Arabidopsis thaliana: one gene and its partners. The protein of the gene in region 1 purifies or fractionates together with the protein of each later gene. This does not show direct contact. Each region holds a gene or a part of one and is shown in the gene's direction. Other genes may lie near its edges. The genes, in order: AT2G35390, AT5G27120, FIB1 and AT3G18790.

The links.
Region 2: the proteins of AT2G35390 (region 1) and AT5G27120 fractionate together in Arabidopsis thaliana (co-fractionation; one large-scale study listed by BioGRID). This does not show direct contact.
Region 3: the proteins of AT2G35390 (region 1) and FIB1 fractionate together in Arabidopsis thaliana (co-fractionation; one large-scale study listed by BioGRID). This does not show direct contact.
Region 4: the proteins of AT2G35390 (region 1) and AT3G18790 fractionate together in Arabidopsis thaliana (co-fractionation; one large-scale study listed by BioGRID). This does not show direct contact.

What each region holds. Positions count from the first base shown.
Region 1 is NC_003071.7:14,893,641-14,901,676, reverse strand, and holds AT2G35390 (Phosphoribosyltransferase family protein), read left to right. Parts: upstream 1-3,794; 5' UTR 3,795-4,095; coding exon 4,096-4,239; exon of another isoform or gene 4,240-4,569; coding exon 4,570-4,992; intron 4,993-5,103; coding exon 5,104-5,247; intron 5,248-5,341; coding exon 5,342-5,509; intron 5,510-5,594; coding exon 5,595-5,664; intron 5,665-5,783; coding exon 5,784-5,865; coding exon of another isoform or gene 5,866-5,869; exon of another isoform or gene 5,870-5,968; coding exon 5,969-6,149; 3' UTR 6,150-6,423; downstream 6,424-8,036. Other genes in the region: AT2G35430 (Zinc finger C-x8-C-x5-C-x3-H type family protein), read left to right, coding at 419-663; AT2G35420 (RING/U-box superfamily protein), read left to right, coding at 1,198-1,962; AT2G35410 (RNA-binding (RRM/RBD/RNP motifs) family protein), read right to left, coding at 2,087-2,236, 2,325-2,627, 2,781-2,879, 2,962-3,336; AT2G35380 (Peroxidase superfamily protein), read right to left, coding at 7,719-8,036.
Region 2 is NC_003076.8:9,538,240-9,546,496, forward strand, and holds AT5G27120 (NOP56-like pre RNA processing ribonucleoprotein), read left to right. Parts: upstream 1-2,621; 5' UTR 2,622-2,740; intron 2,741-3,035; 5' UTR 3,036-3,047; coding exon 3,048-3,125; intron 3,126-3,225; coding exon 3,226-3,267; intron 3,268-3,356; coding exon 3,357-3,536; intron 3,537-3,612; coding exon 3,613-3,777; intron 3,778-3,971; coding exon 3,972-4,172; intron 4,173-4,259; coding exon 4,260-4,757; intron 4,758-4,857; coding exon 4,858-4,992; intron 4,993-5,142; coding exon 5,143-5,445; 3' UTR 5,446-5,826; downstream 5,827-8,257. Other genes in the region: GLR2.1 (glutamate receptor 2.1), read right to left, coding at 1-72; AT5G27110 (Tetratricopeptide repeat (TPR)-like superfamily protein), read right to left, coding at 333-2,408. UniProt on the Arabidopsis thaliana protein: Required for 60S ribosomal subunit biogenesis.
Region 3 is NC_003076.8:21,291,078-21,299,135, forward strand, and holds FIB1 (fibrillarin 1), read left to right. Parts: upstream 1-3,069; 5' UTR 3,070-3,212; coding exon 3,213-3,231; intron 3,232-3,480; coding exon 3,481-3,788; intron 3,789-3,870; coding exon 3,871-3,966; intron 3,967-4,062; coding exon 4,063-4,140; intron 4,141-4,237; coding exon 4,238-4,414; intron 4,415-4,658; exon of another isoform or gene 4,659-4,732; intron 4,733-5,085; coding exon 5,086-5,154; intron 5,155-5,252; coding exon 5,253-5,432; 3' UTR 5,433-5,742; downstream 5,743-8,058. Other genes in the region: AT5G52450 (MATE efflux family protein), read right to left, coding at 430-672; EDA41 (FBD, F-box and Leucine Rich Repeat domains containing protein), read right to left, coding at 1,298-1,617, 1,706-1,844, 1,939-2,379, 2,472-2,681; AT5G52480 (RNI-like superfamily protein), read right to left, coding at 5,841-6,417, 6,537-6,685; AT5G52490 (Fibrillarin family protein), read left to right, coding at 7,780-7,798, 8,035-8,058. UniProt on the Arabidopsis thaliana protein: S-adenosyl-L-methionine-dependent methyltransferase that has the ability to methylate both RNAs and proteins. Involved in pre-rRNA processing.
Region 4 is NC_003074.8:6,474,809-6,482,098, forward strand, and holds AT3G18790 (pre-mRNA-splicing factor ISY1-like protein), read left to right. Parts: upstream 1-2,852; 5' UTR 2,853-3,044; coding exon 3,045-3,947; 3' UTR 3,948-3,951; intron 3,952-4,465; 3' UTR 4,466-4,774; downstream 4,775-7,290. Other genes in the region: ACT2 (actin 2), read left to right, coding at 727-1,180, 1,259-1,872, 1,959-2,024; AT3G18800 (uncharacterized protein), read left to right, coding at 4,938-5,531; PERK6 (Protein kinase superfamily protein), read right to left, coding at 5,893-6,183, 6,270-6,431, 6,528-6,672, 6,819-6,895, 6,982-7,052, 7,150-7,290.

The sequences.
Region 1 (8,036 bases):
GGTGTTGCTTGATGAACTGTGAGTTTAGAGTGTCACTAGAGGTTAATGGATGCTAATTCTCTGGACTAAGAGATCATCTTTGAACACTAGAACTATCTTTATTAGCTTAAGTTAAGTCTGTTGAATTGTATATGTAATGGTATTGGTTTCCTTGAGGATTCTTTATATGGACTGTGGGTGCCAATTAGTTAATCGTGCTTGGTGAATGGATTGGTGACAATGTCTATTAATGGACTTAAAGTGGATCGAGTGAGATTGTTGAAATGTTTCCTATTGCTACATTGCCATTACGTGATGATGTCAATTGGTTTCTGATTGGAAAGAATTCTTGATCTGCTTGTTCCTAATGGCTATGGAAATGCAGAAAGTTTCAATCGTCGCTAGCTAAAAGTTTGAGTCTTTATGGTATCTTTTGCAGAGTTGCATACATTTGGCGGAGGACTCGTTGAAGGAGAATGTAAGATCGGAACATCCGCCACTTTGGACACAAAGCAGAGAGGACAAGTAGACACAGTGACTAGCCTTGTTTCTCCTGGAGTCTCATCCCAACGGACATCTAGTGCTGTTACGCAGAAACCCAACGGAGTCAGAACTCAACGGAAATGGAAAGGACCAGATAAAATCAGTCGTGTTTATGGTGATTGGATCGACGATATTGAGTAAAGTCACTGCATTTTCACTGATTTGTTGATCAAGGTATAGCTTCTTTTAGACTTGTAACTGTGTGGACATATTAGCTTCCTCCCTTCTGTGGTTGTAGATTGTGACTCACTCAACAAAGACAAAAACTCTCATCTTTTTGTTTATTCTCTTTGTCAATCCTAAATCTAATCTTGCAGAAGATCAAACCGAACTAAATAATGTTGCGTACTTGTAAACCGGATCATCATTGCTACCTAAACCTTTTTCTTTATTTCCATGGTCAATATTAATTTTTCGTTTTGAGTTATTTTTAACAGTAAAATGATTTATTATTAAGACAACGATTTTAACTGTCACAAAAGACTCGCTCAAAATGGTAAGCAAAGCCACTTCTGTCTCTCAGACATAGCCACTTTATTCTCCTCATTTCTCTCTATTAACTTGAACAATAATACTCCTTTTCTCACAAGGATTTGTAAGAACAACCTTTCTTATATCCCAAGCAATCTACGAAACTGGTAGAATCTGGGGGTTTCTCTAATCATCAACCTTCAAATGTCGTCAACAACATCAATAGATTCAATACCAGCTACTGCTGTTTTCCCTAGTGTTTCCATGCCTGTCACCGTAGTTTTGACCGGTGTTCTTCTCTTTGTAATTTTCGCCGGATTCTTCTCTCTTTTCTTATGGCAGTTTCTTCTGAATCGATTATTTACTACTTGGAACCTTCAACGAACACCTTACGGTGACCTAATCCATGTGGCCACTCCGCCTGAAAATACTGGCCTCGACCCGTTTATCATCCGGTCCTTTCCTGTATTCCACTATTCATCTGCAACTAAGAAAAATCATGGGACGGAATGCGCTATTTGCTTGTCAGAGTTTTCAGATGAAGATACAGTTAGGCTCATAACGGTTTGTCGTCATCCCTTTCATTCAAATTGCATTGATCTTTGGTTTGAGTTACACAAGACTTGTCCTGTTTGCCGGTGTGAGTTAGATCCTGGCATGATTGGATCTGGAAGGCTTGAATCATTCCACAACACAGTCACAATTACTATTCAGGACATAAACCATGATGAGGAAAATCCTCCAACCGCTGGTTCAAGCAAAAGGCTAATAGAAGCCTCGGCTTGGCGATTCTCGAGGTCACATTCTACTGGACATTTCATGGTTAAGACTACGGATGCTAATGTGAAGTCCAAAAGAAGGCATTACCAAACAGGAAGCTGTGTCTCGTTCGACGAACTTACTCGGTATGAAGGAGCAGGATGGCAATGGCTTGGTGATTCATCACACATTAGCAGGATTGAAGTATAGTTTACTGAATTTCTGTTACATCTTCATTATTGTGTTCTTTGTAGCAGTAGTTATTTCAAAACTGTAATAAGATCTCTAGTCAGATTCTCATGCTCCTATCGGATAACAGAGAAAATAATAAGAGTCACTCCACAATGTTTTCTTCGGAAGTGTTTTTGTCTTCTACAGTGTCTCCATCTTCAGAAGCGTTGTTAGCTTCTACACTGTCACCATCTTCAGATTCACTGGCGCTTCTCAGACTAAACTTTAGAGTGATAGGTCTACCCATTATCTCCTATAGAAAAACCAAATTGTAATGAAACACTTTACATGCTCAAGGCTAAAGGAGCAAACTTTATATTAATATGCTTGGAACTTCATACCTTCCCATTGAGTTTTGTGATTGCATTCTCAGCTTCTTCTCTAGTAGCAAATGAGACAAAGCCATAGCCAGAAGATCTACCTTCGGGGTCAGCGAAAACAACCCGAGCTGAGACCGGGTTGAAATCTGCAGCAGTGAAAAGCTCTCGGAGATGTGTTGATCTTGCTTTCCAAGCGAGATTAGATACGTAGAGTTTGTGACGAGTGTCTCCAGGGGCAGGAGAAGGAAGATCGTTCGGTGATTTCGGAGTAGGCTTCTTGAACCTTCTTGCAAAGCTTACGCTAATGATCCTCCCTGACACTTGCTGAAAACAAAGAAGATAGAAGCTTAAACATCAAACCTTAGCTAACAACTCAACACAATGTATGATTTAGTAGTTTGAACTATCTACCTAAAAGGCTTTGAAATTAAACAAACAACACTCAATCAGAAAAGAATCTAAGGGATTTGAGCTTACAAAAGTATCGAACTTATCAATAGCTGCTTGAGCTTCTTCTCCAGAAGCCATAGTTACAAAAGCAAATCCTCGGTTCTTTCCATCTTTTTGCCTTATAATCTAGGAAAAGTTTATAAATTGAGGTAAGGCAATTGCTAGTAATAACATAAAGATTGAAACGAAATTGAGAAAGAAGAAAGACCTCGACATTGTTCACAGTCCCACATTGTCCAAAGAGCTCGGAAATGTCATTTACACTCATAGACCAAGGAAGATTGAATACAAAAAGCTTCCTTTTCAGATTTGAATTCTGGGTTTCTTCAGTCTTCTCCTCCTGCGACGTTTCTTCATCCGCCGATGTTTCTTTCTCCGCGACGGAACAGAGTACGGAGACGAGCCGCCGTGAGTTATCGCTGCCGGAACGTAGAGAGAAGACGGGAGAGAGATTGCTGGGAATTCGAAGACTAAGGGCAGTAAGTTTTAAGGAAGAAGAGCGTTTAGAAAAGAGATAAGGTTTTGAAGAGGAAGAAGAAGAAGAGAAGGAGAAAATGGAGAGAGAAGCTTCCAAAACCGCCATTGTTAGCTTTGGCACTAGAGAAATGGATTAGACCGAGACAAAAGGATAAAACTTTTTGGGCCGGTTTGGTTATTCGGAAAAAAATGAATTGTGAACCGGGTCTACCAACTTCGGTTTTTGAAGGTAAATGGCACGAGGAACTTAACCGTATATCATGTATTTTTTTTGGTATACCAATAAATTCCAATCCCTCCACATTGCAGTCAAATGGAAGAACAAAAAAGTGATGAATCTCATGATTTTTCTCTTTGAAGTCAAAACTCGAATTTGACTAAAACTGAATTTGATTGGTGTATATTCTATAACAATGTAAATACAAAAGTTTAAATTTCAATATTCTAAATAAATAAGTTAGTAAATTTTTTTTGAGTTTTGAGACATTTGGTGAAATACAAAATGAAGAGACCAAGATTTCAATCAATCCCAAAAAGTTAATTAATCCTAAGAAAAGTCCAGCCAGACGTCTCCAATCCATCAAACGATGTCGTTTAGTAACAACTTGTAGTCTTGTACACACCAACCAAACCATTTCCTATTTATTTTTCACAAAACGAAAAAAAAAAAAATCCAAATTCGAGAAAGAAGAGTCCAACACAAACTCGGAGACGAAGAAGAAGGAGAGAAGAAAACCATTAAGCCATTCCTTCTTCCGTATCACTCTGTCACCTTCAAAATCCTAAACCATAATTTTTCCGAATTCGTTGTGGAAGAGACTGCTTGAGTGAGTCAGAGGTGGGTTTACGTGAGGTATTGCTGACAATGGCGTCTCTGGGTCTATCCTTTCCTCCCGCCGCAAAAACGCCGACGTATCTAGCCTCTTCGTCTTCAACTTTCTTCTCTAACTCTTCTCTATCCGTCAGAACCTCTCAGTTTCGCTCCCGAAACTCTGTCTTCGCTTGTGTTGTAAGCGGTGTTCATGAATCTATAGAATTGCTTATTCTGCATTTTTGAATGTTGATCCTTCCTTTCTTATTACGTTTCCGGATTTGAGGTTCCTAGATTGAGTGGACCCTAATAGCCATCTTGTCAAGTTTGTAGTTCTGAGATTTTTATTGGCGCATGAGCTGAAAAGCTCGTCTCTTTCGTTTGAATATTGTTTGTTTATGCGAATATAGCTACATAAAGGTTGTCTCTTTCTTCAGAATACATTTGTTTGAAACTATCCAGGAACAGAAATTGAGACCTATATGATTATATGAATCTCTGATTGAGTCTTGTTGTTGTTGTTGCTAGAAATGTGATATGCCGGAGTCATTGAATGTGGGAAACGGGAATCCAAGTATCCCAATTATTAATGAGAGGACACTTCCAAAGTTCTTGGAATCTGCTCGTATGGAGAAATCAGTCAATAGAACCAATACAAGGTTGAAGTTGTTCTCTGGTACTGCAAATCCAGCACTTGCTCAGGAAATTGCTTGGTATATGGGCTTGGATCTTGGCAAGGTTAATATTAAGAGGTTTGCTGATGGAGAGATCTATGTTCAGCTACAAGAGAGCGTTAGGGGATGTGACGTCTATTTGGTGCAGCCTACTTGCACTCCCACTAATGAGAATCTCATGGAGCTTTTGATTATGGTAGATGCTTGCCGAAGAGCATCAGCTAAGAAAGTTACAGCTGTGATTCCGTATTTTGGATATGCAAGAGCTGACAGGAAGGTAAAGTCTCTTTGTGTGGTTTAGCTACTTTCACATGATATGGAGGGTTTGTTGATAACTTAGCTATTGGTAATCTTTTCTGGATAAAATTGTATGTTTTGCTGCTTGCAGACACAAGGGCGTGAATCCATTGCTGCCAAATTGGTTGCAAATCTTATCACTGAAGCTGGTGCAGATCGAGTTCTTGCTTGTGATCTTCATTCAGGACAGTCGATGGGTTATTTTGACATTCCAGTCGACCATGTGTACTGCCAGGTTCACCTCTAAAGCCACGTTCTTGATACCCCTCTTTATGCATTGTGTGTATGCTCCTTTGTGTATAATACCTTTATCTGCTTAATTGTTTCAGCCGGTGATACTTGATTATCTTGCTAGCAAGTCAATTCCCTCAGAGGATTTGGTAGTGGTTTCTCCTGATGTTGGTGGAGTAGCCAGGGCCCGCGCTTTTGCAAAGAAATTATCAGATGCACCACTTGCCATTGTCGATAAAAGGCGTTCTGGACACAATGTTGCTGAGGTATCCCTTTCTTTCAGAGTCAGAGTTTGCTCACCAACACCGCTTGCTTCCCCTTAAGTTCACATTTGTTATACTTTCCTTTCAGGTCATGAACCTAATTGGTGATGTAAGAGGGAAGGTGGCAATAATGGTGGATGATATGATTGATACTGCTGGTTAGTAAAACGGCATGGAGTTGTCATTTTACCGACAAACCAAGTTTCCTATCTCTCTCTATTCCCCATCAACTTCTCCTTTTCCAGGCTGAATCATCTATGAACCATTCTTGTTTCAGGAACCATTGTAAAAGGAGCAGCTTTGTTACACCAGGAAGGTGCTCGGGAGGTATATGCGTGCTGCACACACGCTGTTTTCAGGTAAACCACTAACCTATATTTTGTTTGTTCCTGAACAGTCTCAAAATCACTACTTCCTGAAGCATTATTTGTTTTCTTTGTTTCAAACAAATCAATATGGAAGCCCGCCAGCGATAGAGCGATTATCAGGGGGTTTGCTGCAAGAAGTGATAGTGACAAACACATTACCTGTAGCAGAGAAGAATTACTTCCCGCAGTTAACAATATTATCAGTGGCTAATCTCCTGGGTGAGACCATTTGGCGTGTGCATGATGATAGTTCCGTCAGTAGCATTTTCCTTTGACCTTTCTCATTGCAACCAACAATTTGAACGATTCTTGGTTTGTTAGTCGGTTTAGAAAGTTTATCCCGGTTCATGTTCTAACCGGAAAGCTTCAACAAAATTTGCTTGCATTGTCTTTTGATACAGCTTAGGTTTTTCTTATTTGCTCCACATCTCAAAATTATGGATGCACAAATGGTGTTGAACCGATTTTTTATTATGGTGTACACAAGTTTTTAACTTAATATATAGAACATCTTGTATCGTATCTACATTTAACATGGTGCAAATTGGCTCAAAAATCTTGTTGACAATTTGATAATGGGTTTCATAATCAGACAAATCTATGTATTGGATTGTACAGTCCACGGCCAACCAAAAAAATAAAAAAAGCCCAAAAGAATAGGTTGAGTCATAATTAGGGCTTCTATTTGACTAGTGTCAACTAGTATATATAGAAGACTCACATTGGAATCACAAGACAAGTCTATTGTTTTGTGTTCCGCCTCAATTAGTTCTTAGGGTTTTGTCATCTGTGATTTTGTTTGGCTCTGTTTTTCGATTTGTGCATAGAAATTTATTTAAATAGAAGAGCTGTGAGGAAAAAATCGTGTGCCAGAGATGGTTAATCCATCGCTGACGGTAATACACAACCCTCTAAGAAGTTCTGAGCTTTTCTAGATCTTAATCTCTTCCTCAATTCATGTTTTTTTTGGATTTTTGTAAAAACTCTTTTAAGGACTTTTATGAGTCGAGGTGACGATAGAAATTCACAGGTCTGTCAATCCACTGATATATGTGATGTAATTGTGTTCTCGACAGGTTCTGATCGACTCTACAATAAAAATCCTTAAAATCTTGTTTTCAATTTTAATATTTCGTTTTTGTATCCTTAAAAAAATCGTTTTCTTTTGAATCTGAGTATAGGATGAATCTCATATATTGATGTTATTTACTACTGAAATTACATTGATGTTTTATTCACCTTGGAGAACTGATACTCAGATTCATAGTCTCTTTTATGTTTTTGTACAATTCGAATGTCTTGTCGATTTTAAGGATTTGGTTTTTGATTCTCTTTGTTTTCTACTGGGCATATGATGAAATTATATTTCATGGGTAATTTGCGTCTGATTCTATGTGATGCTAACTTTTATGATTATCTGATGCCCAGAAAATATACCGAATGTTTTTTTTTGTTTTTTTACTAGTTGTGCATAATGGAAATCACTTGACTAATTAATTTGACTTGTTCACAGTTCTATTCACTTTAAATGCAAAAACAATTCTCAAAGGTTTTCTACTGATGCCTTGAAATATTTGGATATTTTACTTCGGAACAAAACAGAGTCCTTCAATAATTGGAGTTATCAATTGTCAGCTTAGATGACAAGCTGAGATTATTTTGACAATTCACTTGCCTTAAGCAGAAACAATTCCAACAAACAGACCTGTATCATACTTAATTGGACATTGTTATAATGGAGAAAATAATGGAACTTATCGAAGTTGTAATGAGTTTTGTGAAGTTGATGCCTTATTGGAAGACCAAAAGAAGTGCAAACAATTTGTATTGATTGATGTTTGATTTCAGATATTGACAAATCTACAATTCTCCCTAATTTCACCTTCAATACCTGTAAGAACATTAATATTACCCATTTTTAACATAGATTCCACAAAATCTATGAAGAAAAGATCTTGATTAACTGCATATTCCCAAACTTTCTGAAAGATCTCTCCTTCATGATCTTCTGAGACCAGAACGTTATCCGAAATCAACAACCCTCTCCCTTCTAACAGATTGATGAAATAATGGTTATCGAAGTAAGCTGGTGTCTTAATATCCAGTGGAGACAGTTCGTTGTCTCGGCTTGAATCTTTGCATTGTGACCCTAGGACTCGACG
Region 2 (8,257 bases), on another chromosome or scaffold:
TTCTCCGACCTGCATCAGGAAGACGATTACAAAGAAGAGTAAGCTGAGAACGAGGTTGTTTTCTCTCTTCATTTTATTCTTCTTCTACTTAGCCGAAAAAGAATGAAACTTGGTGGTCTATATGTATGCTCTTTGGTGTGGCATGAGACCCTTTGGTAATTGGAGAAGTCGTGATATTGTTAATTACGAACTTGTTGAATTTATTCCAAAGTATATAATATTTAAGGCAGCAACTTGTTTTTTTTTACATATTCTAATTTAACCAACAATTAAAGTCAACCGTTGCAAAGGAGGAGACTTCGTCTCATGCATAATTAACAATAACATAAGAATCATTGACCGGATTCCATGTGACCACTCAAAAGAGCAAGACACTCATAAACGTTCTCAGCTCGTAAATGAGACCTGTCCTCAGCAAAGAAATGGCACACTTTGTCACTCATCTCAATCCAACTGCAGCCCGGTTTCTTCCTCAATCCCATTTCTTTCATTTTTAATCTGACTCGTCTTGCTGCATCCCATGACTCACCAGAAGCATACAAATTGAACAAGACCATGTAGGTTGATGCATCATCTGGATAATTCTCAACAAGCAATCTTGCGATTCTATCTCCCAATGAATGTTCCAGGTGCAAGCAACAAGCAGAGAAGAGAGTACTGAGAAGCTCTGCATTGTCACTTGTCTCTGGTGTTTGTTGAATAATTTCATAAGCTTCAAGCAACCGACCTGCTCGGCCAAGAATGTCAATCATGCACGAGTAATGTTCAATAATAGGCTCGATTCCGTACTTTGATCTCATTTGACTGAAAAATTTGAGACCCTCATCAATTAGCCCAGCATGACCACAAGCTGACAATACAGCAAGAAGAGTAACCCCATCAGGTTTTAGACCAAACTTCTGCATTTCATCAAACTGGTAAAGTGCTTCTCTGGGTTGACCATGAGATCCATACGCAGAGATCATTACCGTCCATGATACAACATCCTTCTTTGGTATACTGTTGAAAATCCTAAAAGCCTCTTTTTCATTGCCGCATTTAGAATACATGTCAAGAAGCGCACTCAAAAGCAACTCGTCTGTTTCGAGCCTGCTCTCACTAATGGACAAATGAATCTGTTTGCCTTTCTCTAACGCAGCCAGTTGCGAACAAGCAGGTAAAACACTTGTGAAAGTTACCACGTCTGGCTTCACTCCAACACTCACCATTTGGTCATACACTTCAACAGCCTTAAACCAATTACCTACACTGATATAACTAGAAATCATGACATTCCATGACTCAGCAACGTCCTTCTGTGTCTTTGAAAAGACGGTTTCAGCCAAATTTGCTTCACCACACTTGAAGTATAGATCAATCAAGGAACAGTTCACATAGATATCTGCATTTACAACGCTTCTAATCACATAACCGTGTATAAATTTTCCATGTAGGAGATTCCGTGAGCGAGAGCAAGCCATCAAAATGCTGGTCAAGGTTGTCTGACTCGGTCGAGTTCCTTCTATGATCATTCTATTCAAAATCTCAACACATGACTTACTGTCTCCTTTAGCGACATAACCTTTGATCATAGAATTCCAAGCAACCAAACTCTTTCTAGGCATTTTCTGAAAAACCTCCCTAGCCACCTCCAAGCAGTCACATTTCCCATACATATCAACAAGGGCAGAGTTTACATACTCATCTAACTCAAACCCTTTCTTCACACATTTTCTATGTATCTCCTTCCCTCTCTCCAACCACAACAGCCTTGAACACGCCGATATAGCCACCGTCAACGAAACTGAATTTGGTTCAAAGCCAGAACTTTCCATTCTTCCAAACAACTCCAAAGCCTTCTCTGCCTCTCCACTTTGATAAAAACACGAAATAACCGTGTTCCAAGATGCTACATCTCTCTCAGGCATTTCATCGAACACTTGTAGTGAATTCTCAAACAAGTTAAACTTTGCATACATACCAACCAAAGAACTCGCCACAACCACATCACAAACATACCCACTCTTCACCACAAGAGTATGAATCATCCTACCAAGAAACTCTCTACCCAACGCACCATAAGCCTTAATCACATTCGGAAAAGTAAACGAATCAGGGACACAAATTGAGCAATTCAACAACCTCTTGAAAACCTCAAGAGTGTCATGAAACATTGAGTTCTTTGAATAACCAGACATTAAAGAGTTCCATATGTAAACATCCGATCGTATATCGAAGTTCTCGAAGACGTGTCTCGCTGAGCAATGGTCTTTACAAGTAAAGTAGACATTGATGAGACTTTTGCATAAAACTACGTCTCTTCGTAACCCCAACGTGAGTATTCTCTGATGCACAAGCTTGATTCTTCTTAGAGACTTGGTGCTATTGGTACACTCTCGCAATAAAGACAACAACTTTGAAGATTCCATTTCAAGTTCACATTTTTTTTTGTCGTGAGAGATTGAAATGTGATCAGTCGCTGCTTTAGCTAAATTATAAAGGAAAGACATGATTCAAACTACGACGTCGTTTATACTAATGGGCCAAACTTAATTAGGCCCAAAATGATTTATTTTTCTAAATTAGCGATGCGTTTTAAAACCCTAGGTTACAAAAACGCGCCGTTAGCAATAAAAACGCAGCGTTTTGAGAATCTCTGAACCTTCTTCAACAACTATAAAAACCATCTTAAACCCTAGCAGAATCGCGGCTCCTGATTTTAGCTCTCTCTAAAGCTGTAGTTGTGCGTTAACCCTCTAAGGTACTGAATCTCTCTCGCCCTCTCTTTCTTCGTTGTTATGGCAAATAAGCTTCCAAAATTCTAAGACTTTGACAAAGTATAGTTCTGTTCTTTGTCGGATTTTCAAGAATTTGAACAGAGTATCTGCCTTAACTATTATTCTGATTTGTAAACTTCGAAACAGGGAAAAAGTTTTACCTTGAATATTGTTTCGTACTAGCTTAATGGCTTTAGCTCGTAAAACACTAACTTGCAAGTTTGGTGACTTTGAGTTGATTCAAGGGTTTCTCTTAATCTTGTTTTTTCTTCTTTTCAGGAGCTTGTAAAAATGCTAATACTGTTTGAGACGCCAGGTGGTTTTGCCATCTTCAAAGTATTAAACGAAGGAAAGCTCTCTAATGTTGAGGTTACTAACTAAATCATTCTCCTTTGTTCATTTATCTTAACCTTGTTTCTGTGTGTGGTTTGGTTTTTTAATTCTAAGTATGTCAAATTTGTGATTGTAGGATTTGGGTAATGAGTTCTCGACCGCAAAGTTAGCCCGAAAGGTGATTTATTTTGTTCTAGACATAGTTCAAATTTTGTATCTGGCTAATAATATTTGTTTCTCATAGCAATTTTTGGTGTGTTGTTACAGATGGTGAAGCTAGTAGCTTTTGACAAGTTTGACAACACAGCTGAAGCTCTTGAAGCAGTGGCTAAATTGCTTGAGGGAACTCCAAGCAAGGGTCTACGCAAGTTTTTGAAAGCTAACTGTGTTGGTGAAACATTAGCTGTTGCTGATTCTAAGCTTGGAAATATCATCAAGGAGAAACTGGTGTGTATTTTGTTCCGATACGCTCTTTTATTTCTGAGTAAGGGTTGTTTCTTACGGTTTTGCTTCACTCGTGTAGAAAATAGTCTGTGTTCACAACAATGCTGTTATGGAGCTGTTAAGAGGTATCAGAAGCCAGCTAACTGAACTTATATCTGGATTGGGTGATCAAGATCTAGGTCCAATGAGCTTGGGGTTGTCTCACAGCCTTGCCAGATATAAACTAAAGTTCAGTTCCGACAAGGTAGTCATTTGATTTGTATTGGTTTTTGGTTCTCTGAATTATTTGTTGAGTTAGCCAACTTTTGATAAATTATGGAACTTTTGGTATCCCTTTTTTTACTCTTCCAACATTAGGTCTGAATTGCAATTGAGTTTGTCTATATATCCTGTGTTTGTTTGACCCTTATGTTACTTCACCTTGTACTTGTATGTTAGGTGGATACCATGATAATCCAAGCTATTGGTCTGCTTGATGATCTTGACAAAGAGCTTAACACTTACGCTATGAGGGTTCGTGAATGGTTTGGTTGGCATTTTCCTGAGCTTGCTAAGATCGTACAGGACAATATCTTATATGCCAAGGCTGTTAAACTAATGGGGAATCGGATTAATGCTGCAAAGCTAGACTTCTCTGAGGTAAAGGCCTGTTTGAGTATTTGACTTCCTTGTGCTTAACACTAGTTTTTTTTTTTTTGAAACATTGTTTCTGTGTCCTCCTCTCAGATATTGGCTGATGAAATTGAAGCAGAACTGAAAGAGGCTGCTGTGATATCTATGGGAACTGAAGTCAGTGACCTTGATTTATTGCACATCCGAGAACTCTGTGACCAGGTTCTTTCTCTTGCCGAGTACAGAGCTCAGCTTTATGACTACTTGAAGAGCAGAATGAACACAATTGCACCAAATCTAACTGCCCTTGTCGGGGAGCTAGTCGGTGCTCGCTTAATATCTCACGGTGGTAGTTTGTTGAACCTCGCAAAGCAACCTGGAAGCACGGTTCAGATTCTTGGAGCTGAAAAAGCCTTATTTAGAGCCCTTAAGACCAAACACGCTACTCCAAAGTATGGTTTAATTTTCCATGCATCTGTTGTTGGCCAAGCTGCACCGAAGAACAAGGGTAAAATTTCACGGTCACTAGCTGCAAAATCTGTTCTTGCTATCCGTTGTGATGCTCTTGGTGACTCCCAAGACAACACTATGGGAGTTGAAAACCGTTTAAAGGTATCCTTCAATTTTTTTTTTTCCGATCTTCCTCTCGATCTGATCTAAAAATACTCTACCTTGATTGATGTTTACCATGCGGGCTATTTTCTTCTGACAGCTTGAAGCACGGTTGAGAACTCTCGAAGGAAAAGATTTAGGACGTCTATCTGGCTCAGCTAAAGGCAAACCAAAGATTGAAGTATATGACAAAGATAAAAAGAAAGGATCCGGAGGTCTGATCACTCCTGCTAAGGTCAGATTATTCCTCTGCTAGTTTGTTTCTTCAACTTTCTTTTGTAATTATGAATTCTGGATTTGTGCAATTGTGTTTTGGATATATTACCTGTAATGTTGCTTAAAGGATTAAGCTGTTTGTTGTTGTTGTTGTTGTTGTATTCTGCAGACATACAACACTGCTGCAGACTCTCTTCTTCAAACTCCCACAGTGGATTCAGAGAACGGTGTGAAAGAGAAGAAAGACAAAAAGAAGAAGAAGAAGGCTGATGATGAGGAAGAAGCCAAAACTGAGGAGCCCTCAAAGAAGAAATCGAATAAGAAGAAGACAGAAGCAGAACCTGAAACCGCCGAAGAGCCTGCAAAGAAGGAGAAGAAGAAGAAGAGAAAACACGAGGAAGAGGAAACTGAAATGCCTGCTAAGAAGAAGGAAAAGAGTGAGAAGAAGAAGAAGAAGAAAACTGAGGTCTGAAGAGACCTTTAATATTTTTGCGTGGTCTAGTTTACTTTGTTATCAGAAACAAAGAAAATCTTTTGTGGCGTTAGGTGTTAAGTAAGGTTTTTGTTTTGTTTGAAACTTAAAAAAAAGAACTACTCTTCGTTTTGTAAGGTTATAATATGTTTGGTTTAGTCCTTATCCCAGAAACTTGCATTTTGCCAAACGAGTCAAGACCTTACCGTTAAATCCTTCTAATCTTAGTATAACGTAATTACTCATAGTTGATTAGTTCATAAATTTGTAAAGATCAGTCCGAAGAGTCGACATTTTTCATCAAGTGTATCATTGACATTTTAAAAAACCTTGTACAAAATGAATATTTGTGAGTCTAAAAAGTACCTTAATAGTCAATTGGAAATGGATTGGGTTGAGCATAAGGCAAATCATACCAGACCTTAGAAATTTCAAAAGATAAATAAAATCTAGAGTCTACCTACTTTGTGTGTGTATATATTTTTATTGTGCTATAAATTTTGTGATGAATATGAATCAAAATTCTTTCTGAATATTTCGTGATAATGGTTCCGTCAATATCAAAATTTACTACTGAACATATATGTTTTAAAATATTTAACTGGATTTTAATTCATAAAGTTTTTTTTATTTTTAATTAAATTTAGTTGCCGTGGAAAAAGTTTAATCTATAGTGTTTTATGTAATCATTGTAGGTAATGTTCAAAAAATCTGCCTAGACACCTATCGAACTGGATTTTAATTTATAAAGTCTTTTTATTTGTAAGTAAACTAGTAGGCAGCCCGTGCCTTGCACGCAAAACAACAATACCAATAATATATTTCGTGTCTTTGAAATTTGCAACAATTACACAAATGACGAATATCACAACCTCACAAAATACAATGTGTATCACACATTGCTCTATAACTCTCAATAAAAGTCCTATTCAACTTTACTCAAATTGTAAAATAATATATGTGTTAAAATTAAGAAAACTTTTATTGGAAACAGCAAATAATCTTACATAAATACACTAACTTATCTCATAGATATATAGAAAAAAATATATATATATATACAGAGCCGTTTTTTCTTCTCAAAAAACTTAACAATAATAATGATGGAGAAATGAATTACCTTCTAACCAAAACGCTTTTCTAAACTTGAACATATAAGATGGTTTCACATTTAAATTATTTTGCACACTACACCGTGGAAGAAGATGTCATGTCATGCCACCCATCTCTCAATTTGGTTATCTTCTTCTTCTTCTTCTTCTTTTTCTGAATTGAAAGCCCCAAAACATTTGCATCCATTTTGTTTCTATATGATTCTCGCAAACTCATGTGGTCATTTTGTAGCAGCGGGTGTGCATGGAAAATGTAAGAAGATAAGACCAAGTAAAACGCAACAAAACGGCCAAAGGTTTATTGATATTCATACCAGCGATTGGGTGGACCAAACTCAGTGAGTCGTGAGGGGTTAACAGCGTCCATCACATTAGGTATCACAAAAGTCTCAACTTTCATTATTTACGTCATTCTTTCGTTTCTCTGGTAGACGTATTTAGATGAAAGAATGGAGGATCTAAGATTATGAGAAAGGAAAGAAGAAGAAGAATTTAAACCTGTTTTTATCTTCTTGAGAATGGCTTATACGGTTGCTCTTGAGATCGTAAATTAACTGGCAGAGGGTTTGAAAGATGGGAGAGAAAGTAAAGAATCTTAATAACGTGGAAGAAGTAGTTGCTGAAAAAGTGGTTAAAAAAATTTAAATTTATCTTTTGTCAAAAAAGAATATTCTATTGAATAGTAAAAGGAAGTGAATTGGTTTACGATTGTGGAAGTGCAAAATTTTAGACTTAAAGCATACGTGTCAAAATGAGAAGCTTACAGTTTTTTTAAAAGTGACTGTTGATTTAGTATTATTAGATTTAGTTGCCGCGAAAAAGTTTAATATATAGTGTTTTATGTACTTATTATAGGTAATGTTCAAAAAAATAGCCTAGACATCTATCGAACGTCTAGCTACCGTACAACGATTTTTTGAACATTGATTATAGGTAACTAAATCTACATATACATTTTTGCCGCCATTTTGTGAAATAAATCTTAGAGTTGGAACTTATTTATAATGGCTGCCACTAGCTTTTAATTATTGTTTTTTTTGCAATAAATTAATTAACAAGCAAAAAAAATTCCAAATATATTCTAATCCCATATATCACGCAGATTTCTCCAAAATTGAACTAAATTTCGGTAACTATTTAAAACAAAAAATGTTTGACAAACCAAAATACAATTGCAATCCCTTAAAATGAGCAAAATGCACCTAAATACATTTCTTATCAATTCACTAAATCTAATTTCTCCAAAATTTGAATTAGATTTCGACAAATATTTTTAAAAAAATTTGTTTGACAAACTAAAATACAATTGCAATCCCGTAAAATATTTATTTTAATTATATATTTAAATTAACGGTGTACCACTGGGTTTTTTTACGGGACGAGTTTGGCGGAACGGGTTTGAAAGAACGTTACTTAATAACAATTGTAAACTATAAAATATTTTTATTTTATAGATAGATATAATTTGCAAACTTTTATATATACTGATTTAAAAAAATAAATTATTTCTACGGTATAACGCGGGTTAAAATCTAATATTTAGATAATTTTGAATATCCAATATATATGTTTAATTGTTTATAGTAGTAATAATTTTTTTCTGCTATTGTTGTAATAAAAGAAATCTCTAAAACGTTTTAGTAGGAAAGAAAAAAAACGTTAAATGCATAGAAATAAAGTTGGGCAGTAAAAGGAAAACA
Region 3 (8,058 bases), on another chromosome or scaffold:
GCAGAAAAGATGCTTACGCAACTTGGATATTCAAATAAGGTGGCCTGATAACTGATAAAGTGATATGTCCATCATAGGTGAGGTGAATAATATATATTTCTTTCTAATGATATATAATTACTAATACATCTCTTTTTAGAGATAAACTAATTAAAGATTTAAAGCACTATATATTACTTGCACACAAAAAAAAAAACTCTACATATTAAAAAAATCCAAAGGTTTGCATATATGTATAGGAAAAAAATCAAAAAAAATGATATTAATTACCAAATCAAGTTTCACATTCAGACATTTATTCCTAATATCCTAAATTTGGAAGATTTTTTTTTGGTAAATTAAATTAAAGATTAAGATACATGGTTAAGAATAAATTGATATGGGAATATGTAATTTGTAGAAAGACAGAGAGAGTGAGGAAAAACTGACGAGGAAGCTGAAACCGGTGACGGAGGCGAAAGAGGTGGCGATGGATGCGGCGGAGAGAGGAAGAGAGCCAAGATGGCCAACGAACATGACGGAGATAACTTGTAGACAAAACTGAAGAAGACTCACGGCGATGAGTGGGCCTGAAAGCCATAGCTGCTTCTTCACTTCTTCCTTGACACTACTTTTCTCTCCGATCAAAGGCCATGACAAATCACCCTCTCCTCTTTCTCTGTCGTCCCTCATTTTTTTTTGAGAAATAGCAAAGCTATGACAAAGTATCTTCCTATCTTTAAGGGCTTTGTGTTTGGTCCGGTCTCTCTCTTCTCTCTCGCTTTGTCCCTATTGATGTGTGATTTGTGGTGTGTAGGGATTAGTACTTTTTTATTTTGTCAACTTTATAAATAGAGTGAATCATTACTTGGCTAATAATGAAAAATCAAATGGATTTTATTCCTTTTAAAATATTTATTGGCAGTCGCATACAAGAGCGGGTTGAATCCAGAAAACATTGGCAAATCTATTATTAATAAAATTTAAAAATATAGGAATTTGATAAAATTTCGTTTTATTCGGTTCGGTTTTCTTTGTAACACTAAAATTGCAAAAAAAAACTATCATTTCAATTTTATAAAAAAAATTTCAGGTTTGTGTTCTATAACTTCAAAGGTAAAATCTAAAATTGTCGAAGTTGGTATGTAGTATTCAATTCCCTCATAAATTTGTATTTTTCTTCCAGATTCTCGATGGGCCCGGCAATGGTAAAATGTTATGCATCAAAGAAACAATGTGTCCAATATGTTCAAAGAAGTTAGAATATGTTCCCATATAGATGTGGTTTTGCACCAAATGGTAAGAGAATATACATTCTTCATTTAAACACAAGCGTAGACGTTGTTGAAACTCTAGGCATAGACTTTAAGACCGTTTCTATCACCTCTCTCTCTTCAAGATGGAAGGTTGATATCTCTCTCTTCAAGATTGAAGATTGAAAATGTTCCCATATAGATGTGACTGTCACTTTCTTTAAACACTTTGCATTAGCAAAAATGTATCTTATGAGCTGTGTCTCTTCTTCGTTTCCTCTATATCCATGCCACACAAACTCCTCATCTAAATGAGCCGACAAGCATCTGGGAACAGTACCTTGGTTGGTACCATGACAATGGGAGATTTCCGGGTCGATATCCACTTACCTGGATGCAAGTACATAAAAATCTATGAGGTGGAATCAAAGAATCAGTTTATACAACAAGGAGATTGCGTTGTTACTTGTTACTTACAGAAGTGATAGCAAGAAATCTTAGTTTAGGAGAGTTGTTGAGAATTAGTGGAATTATATCCAACCAGAGATGGCCATGTGGACATATCACTAATTTTCCAAGTCGAGTGAAGGTAAAGCCACGAAAATCCAGAGCCTTCAATGACTAAATCAAAAGCCAATATAAATCAATGTGATCAAACCTAACAGCCAAGAAGAAAAAAAACAATAATAATAAAAAGGATAGATACCATTGGATCTTCCAAAGGTAACACAAGATACGTGACCAAGGAAATAGCTTTGAGAAACTTGTCATCAGTATGACATACAACGTCGATATGTGGCTTTTCAAGGCGAAGCTTATGCACCTTCGCGAAACGGTAGTCCCGGTTATCACTGATGGCGAGGCCCACTTTCGATCGGGCAAGAACTGAGCAACTTGATATAAGCCTCTCTAGAGAATTTTCATCTTTGAACACCACATAAAAAAGGCGTAATATGTTGAGTGACGGGAGGCAAACCGAAGAAGGAACATCCACTATAATCTTGTCCGAAAGAGTCAATTCCACAAGTGTTTTGCATGTGTAAAGACTCTTAGGCAAGCTGGTAGGCTCTGCCGTCCAGTGGAGCTCTAACTCTAGCTTGCGCACAAAGCGATCAACTGCATTTGCAACTAATTTCCCAACATCTACCTCAATAGAAAATTTTTACCGAGTTGGATGCACAAAGTTTCTAGAAAAGGTGCCTTGTGAAGTTCCAATAACTTTTCAAGAAACTTCCACACGCTTTCGCATTCATCACCAGGATCACTGTACTCGAGTTTAGGCAACAACGTCCAGACATAACGCCATCGTTTTGACAATATCATTGTCCCAACTGCATCTTTGATCGGTACAAGCAACAAAATCTGGATAAGCAAATCGTCGGGCAACGAACTGATCTCGTCTCTAGAAGCAACAACCTCTTCATCAATTCTTTGACAACGTTCGGCCATTAGTGATGTAATAGCTAGCTGAGTTTGTGATAAAGATTTCAAATATAGGTAAGCAGAGACGAGGAGGAGCAAGTCGAACCCTAAAAACTTTAGATGATCGAGAACCTTAGATATATTCGTAATTTCTCTATGAGAAATTGAGAATAAGTGAATAACTAACTCTTCTTGTCTCACAAAAATAAAACCCTAACTTATCTTTTCCGTGAGACATAAACAAACCCACTTTGGGCCAATAAAATCGGCCCATTATTATCTTGACCCAATCCGGATCAAACCCAACTCCATACTTTGGAGTTTGGACCCATCGTTACCAATGTAGTAGACTAATGTAGTTAAGATATATATAATAGAAGGGCCTATTTATAAAATACAAGAAATGTTACCAAAGCATAAACCCTAAAAGCCCTAAAATCTTAATATATAAACCAACTCACAGAGACTCTAAAATCAGCCACCACCGCACATCTCTCTCCTTTGCCCTCGTTTTTTTTCGGTTCTCGTCTTTCGTTCTTCACTTTTAGACAAGCAAATATGAGACCCCCAGTTACAGGTAAGAACCTTAGTTAAAGTTTATGTCTTTCTTGTTCTGTCTGCCTCTAGAGTATAACCCTGTCCGTATCAAATCTGAATTCGTATCATTACGGTTTCTGTAGTTTGAATTGGTAGTTAGGGTTTTAATTCATGAGCCTTTTGTATCTTCACTGTTTCAATAAAGTTCAAAGATAAAAGTAGAGATTTTTAATAACACTCTGTTCTTCCGTTTAGTTAATTTTCTGTATGTTGGTATTGTTATAATCAGGAGGACGTGGTGGTGGAGGATTCAGAGGTGGAAGAGATGGTGGTGGAAGAGGTTTTGGAGGTGGAAGAAGCTTTGGAGGAGGCCGTAGTGGTGACAGAGGCCGTAGTGGGCCTCGCGGCAGAGGACGTGGTGCGCCTCGTGGTCGTGGAGGACCACCTCGTGGAGGAATGAAAGGAGGAAGCAAAGTGATTGTTGAGCCTCACAGACATGCGGGAGTGTTTATTGCTAAGGGTAAAGAAGATGCTCTTGTCACTAAGAATTTGGTTCCTGGTGAAGCTGTTTACAATGAGAAGAGAATCTCTGTTCAGGTATGAAGTTTGAGGATTGTTTTCTTTATAATTAAATTGAGTTTGTTTTTGTTCTTATATTATAGCTACTTCACTTTTGCAGAATGAAGATGGAACTAAGGTTGAATACAGAGTTTGGAATCCGTTTAGATCTAAGTTAGCTGCTGCAATTCTTGGTGGTGTCGACAACATTTGGATCGTAAGTCCATCTATACACATACCACATTGACTCTGTTTTCTTTTTTTGTATTGAAAGACATGTGCTTGAATTGGTTCTTTGTTAAAACTTTTGTAGAAACCTGGTGCCAAAGTTCTTTACTTGGGTGCTGCTTCTGGGACCACTGTCTCTCATGTTTCTGACCTCGTTGGCCCTGTAAGTCTTTCACTAAATTATTATTTTAGTTATCCGTAGGTCCATTTCTATCCTATGTTTGAGACTTATCTTTGTTCTATTGCTTTATGATTTGTAGGAGGGATGTGTTTATGCTGTTGAGTTTTCTCATAGAAGTGGTAGAGATTTGGTGAACATGGCCAAGAAGAGAACTAACGTTATTCCAATCATTGAAGATGCTAGACATCCGGCTAAGTACAGAATGCTCGTGGGCATGGTTGATGTCATATTCTCTGATGTTGCTCAGCCAGATCAGGTTTGGTTCTATATTTCTTACTATGAAAGTTTGAAGTTACCCTTTCTACAGTTTTATTCACAAAGGTTACGTCATATTGCATTGCATCTTTTGCTTTTAAAATATCAGTTCATTGAAATCGGCATATGATGACATTTCATTTACTATGAAATGTTTGAAGCCTTTTTATTTTACAGTTATATCTTCAAAGTTTTTTTTTATTGCATTGCATCTTTTGCTTTTAAAAAAATCAGTACAATGAAATCGGCAGATGATGATTTTACTTGGATTCCCCTTCAGAACATTTATGGGTGTTGCAAACTCCAAGCTTCTGATGCTACTTTGTATCTTTTTACTAAAATTTTTTACTTTGAACATGCAAATCTGTTTTAATCTCAAAGTTTTTATTTGTCTTCATTTGGTATATCTTATCGATTTGGAAGAAGTCTTTTCGGTTTCTTCTGGTTTTCAACAATTGCATTTTCAAGTCATTTAGAAGTTTTACTTTATTACTAAACTTGGAGACTCAATTGTTGTAGCAATATTGCTGAGCTAGCAGAGATTGCTCCAAGAAATCTGCAATGATTCCATAAATGTTTCTATGTTTATGTTAATGTCTCTCTTTATTCTCATTTTGGTTCTCTGTTTATGTTTTATTTAATTGAATCCATCTATTTGCCTAACTCTTGAAGGCAAGAATCTTGGCCCTGAATGCCTCATTTTTCCTCAAAACTGGTGGACACTTTGTTATCTCAATCAAGGTCAGTGCTCTTATCCTTAATCAAATTCAACAATGTTCTCCTCTGTTATTATTCAATTTGTATTTCCGTCGCTAAATAAACATGTCTCATCTGTTCAGGCCAACTGTATCGACTCTACAGTTGCAGCAGAAGCAGTCTTCCAGAGCGAGGTGAAGAAGCTGCAACAAGAGCAGTTTAAGCCAGCAGAACAGGTGACTCTCGAGCCGTTTGAGCGTGACCATGCCTGTGTTGTTGGTGGTTACCGCATGCCGAAGAAACAAAAGACCCCAGCCTCATAGAGGAACTGTGGACAGTAGTGCCTGTGTATTAAGACTTATTTACTGGGTTTTGTTTTTATCTCCTTGCTTGTTGTATTAAGCTAGAGATGGATAATGCTTTTATGTCTCATTTGGAAAATTTTATCCTCGTTTTAGAACTAATATATATTGATGCAACATTTTCGTCCAATGATTGTATCTCCATCAGTCTTTTCTATGCTTGTTTTTGCTTGGCTATAAGAACTACTGTCCATTTTAATCCTACTTGTTTCTGCATGCTGAATTGATTGTTGAAGTAGTTTGTTTTGAACATGATTATGCTCAAGAAAAGGCGTAAAAGTATCACTTAGCTCTGAAAGGAACTCATTTTTTTTTGGTTAATAAAATTTTAAACACAAACAAACCGACTAAGTGTTATTGACATAAGTCTCAATACAGTTTCAAGTAATATTCGGCTTCTTCCACTATTGGATCAAAGTTATAGGCGCCTTCTTCCATCGGTAGCGCATTTTTAAGTATTGCCAATTGGCGTGACCAATGAAAATAGTAAGTTTCAAAAGAAAACGGGTAATCAGCAGAGGTAGAATCATTGTGGCGTCTCAAATCTTTAATTTTCTCAAAACAACGCTTCTCTAGATTCCCGACAAGGTTGATACATTGGCGTAAATCGAGGTGTTCCAGGTGAGGACAACCGTCAAGAATGGCGTTTAAGCCTGTTTTGGTTAGTTTGTTCCCACAAAGCTGGAGATGGCGTAGTTTAGGCATGCTTTCTGCAATTGCTATGGCATCATGATCATCATCATCCGAACTTAAGTAAAAGAGGCGGTTTAGCATCAATGTCTTCAGATTTGGACAAGACAGCCCTGCAAGTTTCATAGACTCTCCTGACAATGATATTCCTGAAACCTCAAGCTCTTCAAGCATTGGAAGTTTCACAACTGCTTGAACAAATCCATCGTCTGTTATTTCTGAGCACATTAGTCTAAGGCTTCTAAGATTACTTGACCTACAAGTAATGGTGTGTAAAAAGTTATAAATCATAATCTTGAGATATCTGTTTTTAACAGACACTTGAAGACTTACATGAAAAGTAATCAAAAGTCAAAACTAGAATTAGAGGAGAACCTCTCCGCGATGTATGTAAGGAGAGAATCACTCCCGAAGTCCCCAATGTTGATCTCCAGCAAGCCACCCTCGCTACGATCAACGGCGTTACGACATATCGCCTCAGGATTGTTCACCAGTACTGGTTTGTTGTAACTCAAGATTCGCATGTCGATTTTACGCCATATGGATGGGTCTTTACAAACATATCGTCACGATCTACACACTTTCTGAGCGTTCTCCAGTATCTCAGTCACGCTAAGACGTAGCAGAATCAAACACATCAAATCCGTCGGAAGATCCGCCCAGTTTTTTGGCTCTTCGTTTTTCATCAGTGAAGACAGCGGATCCATTTCTGATGAGGATCAAAATGTCAAATCTGTGAAATATATATATCAGAAAGTCATTTAGTTTTAGGCCTTCTTTGATTATTTGTAGATTCTAAGTAGTTTTTGGTTTTAGTTTTAGGCCTTGAATGGTAGTAGATTCTAAAATGGTTTCTAGTTTGCATAAAAAAGTTTCCTGAAAAGCTAAGAAATCTAAATTTTTAATTTTTTATTAATTAATGAAAAGCAAAAAAAAAAAATCTATTTATGCAAACTAGACACCATTTTAGAATTTACAATCATTCAAGGCCTTAATTGTTTATTAACTAATGAAAAAAAAATCAATTTTATGAGTTTTTTGTCCAACTTCGTGTGATTTTTTTTCCTCTTCTTGTTTTGTTTAAACTAATGATTGTTTTGGACTTTAAAGTCAGAAGGCATCTCTGATTACTTGATCTGCAATATAAAGTTATAACAATAAGATGCAAAATTTTACAATCTAGTCCTTATGGCACTAAGTTTACGAAAACAATTCATGTCTAATAAGCCCATTACCTGAATTAATTATTGGGCCTTAAGCTCCTAATATTCTGACCTTTTGTATTTCAAAATCATGTATTCCTTGCATAACAAGAAATCTGATGGTGGTGATTCGATAAAAAGAGTTCGATAGGATCTGAAATCTTCCTACAAGAAGTAAACTGTTTAACAGAATTTGTTAAATGTAATAAATAAAAACTTTTCCATATTTATCGGAAAAATAAATGGAACCTTTCCAGCTTTCCTATACCAACTCCAAATTCCAATAGATAAACATTCTTAAACCCTAGCAGGGGCTCGATAAAAACTAAAAAATAAAAAAACCAAACACGAAAGCTGCAAACATCGATTAACATCAACCTTCTCTTTGTTGCTTTCGCTCTCGCTCTATAGCAAAGATGAAACCTCCCCAAAGAGGTTAGAACCCTAGCAGCCGTTTTGTTTTACTACTTGTTTAATTTCTCTGTTCGACCTATAGTATAGGGTTGAGGGTTGTTAACTCCAAATTCGTTTTGTCACAATATATCTACCTGAATTGCTTGTTACGTAAACTGTTTTGAGTCTTCACTTCTTCAATCCAAGTTTAATAGGAGATTTAATAATACTCTCTTCTGATTAGTTAATTTCGGTTTTATCTGTATGATTATGCTCAGGACGTGGTGGTGGTGTTAGAGGTG
Region 4 (7,290 bases), on another chromosome or scaffold:
TGATTCGTGTCTGTCGATTTTAATTATTTTTTTGAAAGGCCGAAAATAAAGTTGTAAGAGATAAACCCGCCTATATAAATTCATATATTTTCCTCTCCGCTTTGAATTGTCTCGTTGTCCTCCTCACTTTCATCAGCCGTTTTGAATCTCCGGCGACTTGACAGAGAAGAACAAGGAAGAAGACTAAGAGAGAAAGTAAGAGATAATCCAGGAGATTCATTCTCCGTTTTGAATCTTCCTCAATCTCATCTTCTTCCGCTCTTTCTTTCCAAGGTAATAGGAACTTTCTGGATCTACTTTATTTGCTGGATCTCGATCTTGTTTTCTCAATTTCCTTGAGATCTGGAATTCGTTTAATTTGGATCTGTGAACCTCCACTAAATCTTTTGGTTTTACTAGAATCGATCTAAGTTGACCGATCAGTTAGCTCGATTATAGCTACCAGAATTTGGCTTGACCTTGATGGAGAGATCCATGTTCATGTTACCTGGGAAATGATTTGTATATGTGAATTGAAATCTGAACTGTTGAAGTTAGATTGAATCTGAACACTGTCAATGTTAGATTGAATCTGAACACTGTTTAAGGTTAGATGAAGTTTGTGTATAGATTCTTCGAAACTTTAGGATTTGTAGTGTCGTACGTTGAACAGAAAGCTATTTCTGATTCAATCAGGGTTTATTTGACTGTATTGAACTCTTTTTGTGTGTTTGCAGCTCATAAAAAATGGCTGAGGCTGATGATATTCAACCAATCGTGTGTGACAATGGTACCGGTATGGTGAAGGCTGGATTTGCAGGAGATGATGCTCCCAGGGCTGTTTTTCCCAGTGTTGTTGGTAGGCCAAGACATCATGGTGTCATGGTTGGGATGAACCAGAAGGATGCATATGTTGGTGATGAAGCACAATCCAAGAGAGGTATTCTTACCTTGAAGTATCCTATTGAGCATGGTGTTGTTAGCAACTGGGATGATATGGAAAAGATCTGGCATCACACTTTCTACAATGAGCTTCGTATTGCTCCTGAAGAGCACCCTGTTCTTCTTACCGAGGCTCCTCTTAACCCAAAGGCCAACAGAGAGAAGATGACTCAAATCATGTTTGAGACCTTTAACTCTCCCGCTATGTATGTCGCCATCCAAGCTGTTCTCTCCTTGTACGCCAGTGGTCGTACAACCGGTTAGTACATTTTAGGCTTTTTGTTTATACTCATTGATCATTATTTGAACTGAGCTCTGATTATCTTCCATTGAACAGGTATTGTGCTGGATTCTGGTGATGGTGTGTCTCACACTGTGCCAATCTACGAGGGTTTCTCTCTTCCTCATGCCATCCTCCGTCTTGACCTTGCTGGACGTGACCTTACTGATTACCTCATGAAGATCCTTACAGAGAGAGGTTACATGTTCACCACAACAGCAGAGCGGGAAATTGTAAGAGACATCAAGGAGAAGCTCTCCTTTGTTGCTGTTGACTACGAGCAGGAGATGGAAACCTCAAAGACCAGCTCTTCCATCGAGAAGAACTATGAATTACCCGATGGGCAAGTCATCACGATTGGTGCTGAGAGATTCAGATGCCCAGAAGTCTTGTTCCAGCCCTCGTTTGTGGGAATGGAAGCTGCTGGAATCCACGAGACAACCTATAACTCAATCATGAAGTGTGATGTGGATATCAGGAAGGATCTGTACGGTAACATTGTGCTCAGTGGTGGAACCACTATGTTCTCAGGTATCGCTGACCGTATGAGCAAAGAAATCACAGCACTTGCACCAAGCAGCATGAAGATTAAGGTCGTTGCACCACCTGAAAGGAAGTACAGTGTCTGGATCGGTGGTTCCATTCTTGCTTCCCTCAGCACATTCCAGCAGGTAAAAATTGATCAGATTTTGTTTCGAATTCTCTTACATGCAAATTGAAATCAAAGGCTGATTATTTATGTATATGTTGGTTACAGATGTGGATCTCCAAGGCCGAGTATGATGAGGCAGGTCCAGGAATCGTTCACAGAAAATGTTTCTAAGCTCTCAAGATCAAAGGCTTAAAAAGCTGGGGTTTTATGAATGGGATCAAAGTTTCTTTTTTTCTTTTATATTTGCTTCTCCATTTGTTTGTTTCATTTCCCTTTTTGTTTTCGTTTCTATGATGCACTTGTGTGTGACAAACTCTCTGGGTTTTTACTTACGTCTGCGTTTCAAAAAAAAAAACCGCTTTCGTTTTGCGTTTTAGTCCCATTGTTTTGTAGCTCTGAGTGATCGAATTGATGCCTCTTTATTCCTTTTGTTCCCTATAATTTCTTTCAAAACTCAGAAGAAAAACCTTGAAACTCTTTGCAATGTTAATATAAGTATTGTATAAGATTTTTATTGATTTGGTTATTAGTCTTACTTTTGCTACCTCCATCTTCACTTGGAACTGATATTCTGAATAGTTAAAGCGTTACATGTCTTCCATTCACAAATGAACTTAAACTAGCACAAAGTCAGATATTTTAAGATCGCACCATTTTATATAACCCCAATCGTCAATTCTACTGTTTCAAGTTTTACACCAAAACAATTACGAGGTGTATCTATTCGTTACTCTTTTCGCTTATTAATCCTTTTACATGATGCAAAATATAACAAATTAATTTCAAATTGTCCTGCACATTTGGTTTATACATCTTGATTCCAAAAAGTCAACTCGTTGAAGAATTAATCAATACTCGAAACGAGTCTTCCTTGGGCCCTAAAATATTGTCCTATCTAGTTGATGCTTATATAGCATATATGGGCTAATAAATTGGGCCTTAGCTTTGGAAAAGGACGTAGAACTTGAAACAATTTTTATTTTTCTTTTTCCGGCGAAACAATTATCTAATTACCAATTTAACCCCAATCCTTTCTCAGTTTCTCTCTTCCGCGTCTCTCCTTCTCGTTATCCTGCAAATTAGGGTTTAAGTAAGAAAAAAAAGCTAGAGAAGTATCTCGATCTCTTCTTCTGTTAGATTCTGCTTTCCTTTGAGATTTGCTAGTGTAATCGTAACCTCCGAAGACCCAAGATGGCTCGTAATGAAGAGAAAGCACAGTCGATGCTCAACAGATTCATCACCCAGAAAGAATCTGAGAAGAAGAAGCCAAAAGAGCGTCGACCTTACCTCGCATCAGAATGTAGAGATCTAGCTGAAGCAGACAAATGGAGACAGCAAATTTTGAGAGAGATCGGTAGCAAAGTAGCTGAGATTCAGAACGAAGGATTAGGAGAGCACAGACTTCGAGATCTAAACGATGAGATTAACAAGCTTCTCAGGGAGAGATATCATTGGGAGCGGCGAATCGTTGAGCTAGGTGGTCACAATTACTCGAAACATTCGGCGAAGATGACGGATCTAGAAGGTAACATAATCGATGTACCTAACCCTAGTGGTCGTGGTCCTGGTTATCGTTACTTCGGAGCTGCTAAGAAACTTCCTGGTGTTAGAGAGCTTTTTGAGAAGCCTCCTGAGCTGAGGAAGCGTAAAACTAGGTATGATATATATAAAAGGATTGATGCTAGCTATTATGGGTATAGAGATGATGAAGATGGTATTTTGGAGAAGTTGGAGAGGAAATCTGAAGGAGGGATGAGGAAAAGATCGGTGGAGGAGTGGCGGAGATTAGATGAGGTTAGGAAGGAAGCTAGGAAAGGTGCTAGTGAGGTTGTGAGTGTTGGAGCTGCAGCTGCTGCGGCGAGGGAAGTGTTGTTTGAGGAGGAGGAGGATGTTGTTGAGGAGGAGAGGATGGAGAGGGAGAAAGAGGAGGAGAAAGAGAGGGAATTTGTGGTTCATGTTCCGTTGCCTGATGAGAAGGAGATTGAGAAGATGGTGTTGGAGAAGAAGAAGATGGATCTGCTTAGTAAGTATGCTAGTGAAGATTTGGTTGAGCAGCAGACTGAGGCTAAATCCATGCTCAATATTCATAGATAGAAAGGTGATCATCTCTTCTTGTAAGGCTTTTTAATCATATCATAGTATAATTTTATTGTCTGTAGTTTCTTTTGCAGTTTTTGATCAGAAAATTGACTGAACTGCTGTGTGTTTTAAGAAATTTCGATTAGAGGAATTCTAAAAATTTGTTGATGTTTCTTATATTATTACATCCTAGATTATGATCTTAGAGAATTTGCTAGATCTTGATTTATATTTCCTTAGTAGTCCTGGTCTGTTTGAGAGTATGATAAGGCTTCTGTCGAGTAATGTCATAAAGCGCGATCAATCTATAACAACAACGTACATTCTTGCTTCATTAATCAAGAGTTTCACTGACCTGAGTAATTGACCTAGTACCCTTGTATGTGGAGCTTAGATTTGCAGAAACTGTTATTTCAATGGGACATACTTTAGTTAGTGCCTTAGTGGCATGCATTAGGATGCGAAGGAATTCGTATTATATCTTCTCTTGAATTGAATCTGAGAGGCTGATACATCATCTCTATGCTTCTCAGATGCTCTGTTTTACCAACAAACTCAGCCGCGATGGTCTCTTGCCTAAAGAAGAAACGATGTTGGGCGTTTGAAATATGATTTCATGGAAACAAATGTGAAAGACTCAAGGAGAAGATACAATGTCACTTGGAACTGAACTAGTGTATTCTATTATGTAGCTCGACTTTTGTATCTTTATACTTCTGAATGTAATGCTCATTGCCTGAGGTTTATACATTGTTCCTTTGGCTCTAACTAGATTGGTGCTATGCAGAGACATAAGTTGAGACCAACCACAAGCATTTTTCTGGTTTTGATTTTACTCCCAGTAAAATATTTATTGAGTACGGACAAAACATCAAAAATCAGAACAAGACCGTTGAGATGGATAATACTTGTCTAGAGATACGAACCACACCCACATGTTCCTACACACAATCCCCAAACCATCTCTCTAACCAATAACACTTTTTCTCTCTTCTCAGTCCTTCAATGGCGGACTACGACGACGAAATTGACCAGAATAACCAACCTTTCATCCCCAAAGAAACTGCTCTACAAGCACTAAACTCAATAATCCAGCTCCACTTCGAGAAAACCTTAGAGAAGAAACGAGCCATTGACCACCAGAAGAAGAAGCTCCACAAGCTATTTCAGCTCTTCTTCATCTTCCTCGCCGTAATCTTCTTCTCCCTCTCTCAACCCTCAGGTCGTCTTCACTGCCGCCATTGCTGGGCACCCATCTGCCTCCTATCCTTCTCTCACCTCTTCTTCTACGTCTCCGTCGCTCAAACTCTCCGTTGCATCAACGGCTTCAAGTACCAGCGTCGCTGCCATAAGCTCACTCTCGGTCTCGCCACTCACAAGCTCCGTTTCATCAAGTCAAGAATCGCTGCCGGAGATTTCCTCGGTGGAGGCGACGGTGATGAGGCCTCTGCTGCTGCTTGGGATCTGGAAGTTCCGTATCAAGAACCACCTGATAGCTACTTTGGCAAGTTTAAGAGAAATTGGGCTCTCTATTTTGGGTTCTTGATCCTTCTTTACACTTTCATGATCTCTTTCTCTGTCGTTATCCTCTGTTTCTGAGATCTCTAGAGTGGCATTTTCGTAAATTTTGCAAAACCCATCTGTTTCTTATTATTCATTAGTCCTCAGCTTTAGAATGATCAAGAAGATTGAAATAAAACAAAGTTAGAATCTTTGACATTTGATTCAATCTGGTTACTGAAGCCCTAGTCAATTACTTGATTGAGAGATGGGATTAAGACAGACAATTAGCATTAATAAATCAATTAATCACAATCAAAAGTTTTGAATTTTTTTTCACAGACACAAACACAAATCCAACGGTGACAAAAAGAATAAAAGAGTTGAAAAAAAAAATTCATAGGGGAAACAAAACACAAAAACACAGCAAGGAAGATTGTTTTGAAACTAACAAGCTAAATCAATGGTCTCGGCTAGGAGTGGTTTTGTTGTTGTTAGCTCCTCCTCTACGAATCTCCTCGCTGCTCGAGGAAGACGGGTCAAGCCCGTATTCGCTCGTGTTCCCGTACTCGCTGCTTGCACCGTACTCATGACTATCCAATGCCACTTTCCTGAACTTCTTCATATCCGCACTGTAAGTGCTTGAGTCATAGTCCGAGCTTGAACCCCTCCCGAGGAATGAGCTTTGTCCCGCTTTCCCTCCTTCGCTTAGATCGTCTAGCGTTGCATCTCCCTCCAGAGCCCGAACAATCTGTTTTAACATTGGACCATAGTGATCATTCTCTTGGTGTAAAGTATATGTTTAAAAGAGTGGTCATGTTCAAAAGTAAAACTTGCCTGGCTCATCTTAGGCCTGCGTCTAGCTGAGTGCCTGACGGCTGCAGCGGCACAAGCAACCATTTGTGCCATCTCATGAGGCTCGTATTGGTTTTCGAGACGTGGATCAACTAGTTCACTGTAATCTCCATCCTGAGCTGCGTTTAAGCATATGGGTCTTGCCTGTGTAAAAAAAGTAACCAAGTTTGCATTAGATCACAAGATTCTAACAGAGGAACCATTAATGTGATGAATATATTTAACCATATGATTACGGACCCAATCGACCAAACTGTCTTCCATTTCACCAGTGAGATCAACAGGTCTGCGTCCGGTAACTAGCTCAAGAAGCATCACTCCAAAGGAGAAAACATCTGATCGGTCTGTCAGTTTCCCGCTTGACGCATACTCTGGAGCCAAGTACCTGTCGTTTGATTCACAATTTGAGATTCTTTAGAGAAACAGATTTTCGGATGAGATTATAAAACAAGAATGTTTTTGATATAGAAGTAAGAGCTAATGAAATTTGCAGGAACATTTTTCATCAGCTGGTTTCGCAGTCTTTAGTACCCGAAAGTTCCCATGATACGAGTGGAGACATGCGTAACATTGTCTTGAGATAGCTTCGCTAACCCGAAGTCTGCAACCTGTAGATTTGAGCCAGTCCAGTTAGAGAAAAAATAATACCAACGAATCTGAAAACATTATGAGTTTAAAAATTATAAGAACGTACCTTAGCCTCAAAGGATTCATCAAGAAGAATGTTTGAAGCTTTAATGTCTCTATGAATGATTCTCGGATGACCTAAGTCAACAAAGTCAAGAAAACAAATTTTGATCACAACCTAATCAAACCACTCAAAAAGATTGAATTAATAATTTAGATTTTTGTTTTGACTCACAGTCTTCATGTAAGTAAGCAAGTCCTTTAGCTGATCCCAAAGCAATCTTGAGTCTTGTAGGCCAGTCAAGAACCTTGCCACTTTTACCATGGAGATGGAACTCAAGTGTGTCATTAGGTAAGAACTCATAAACCAACATCC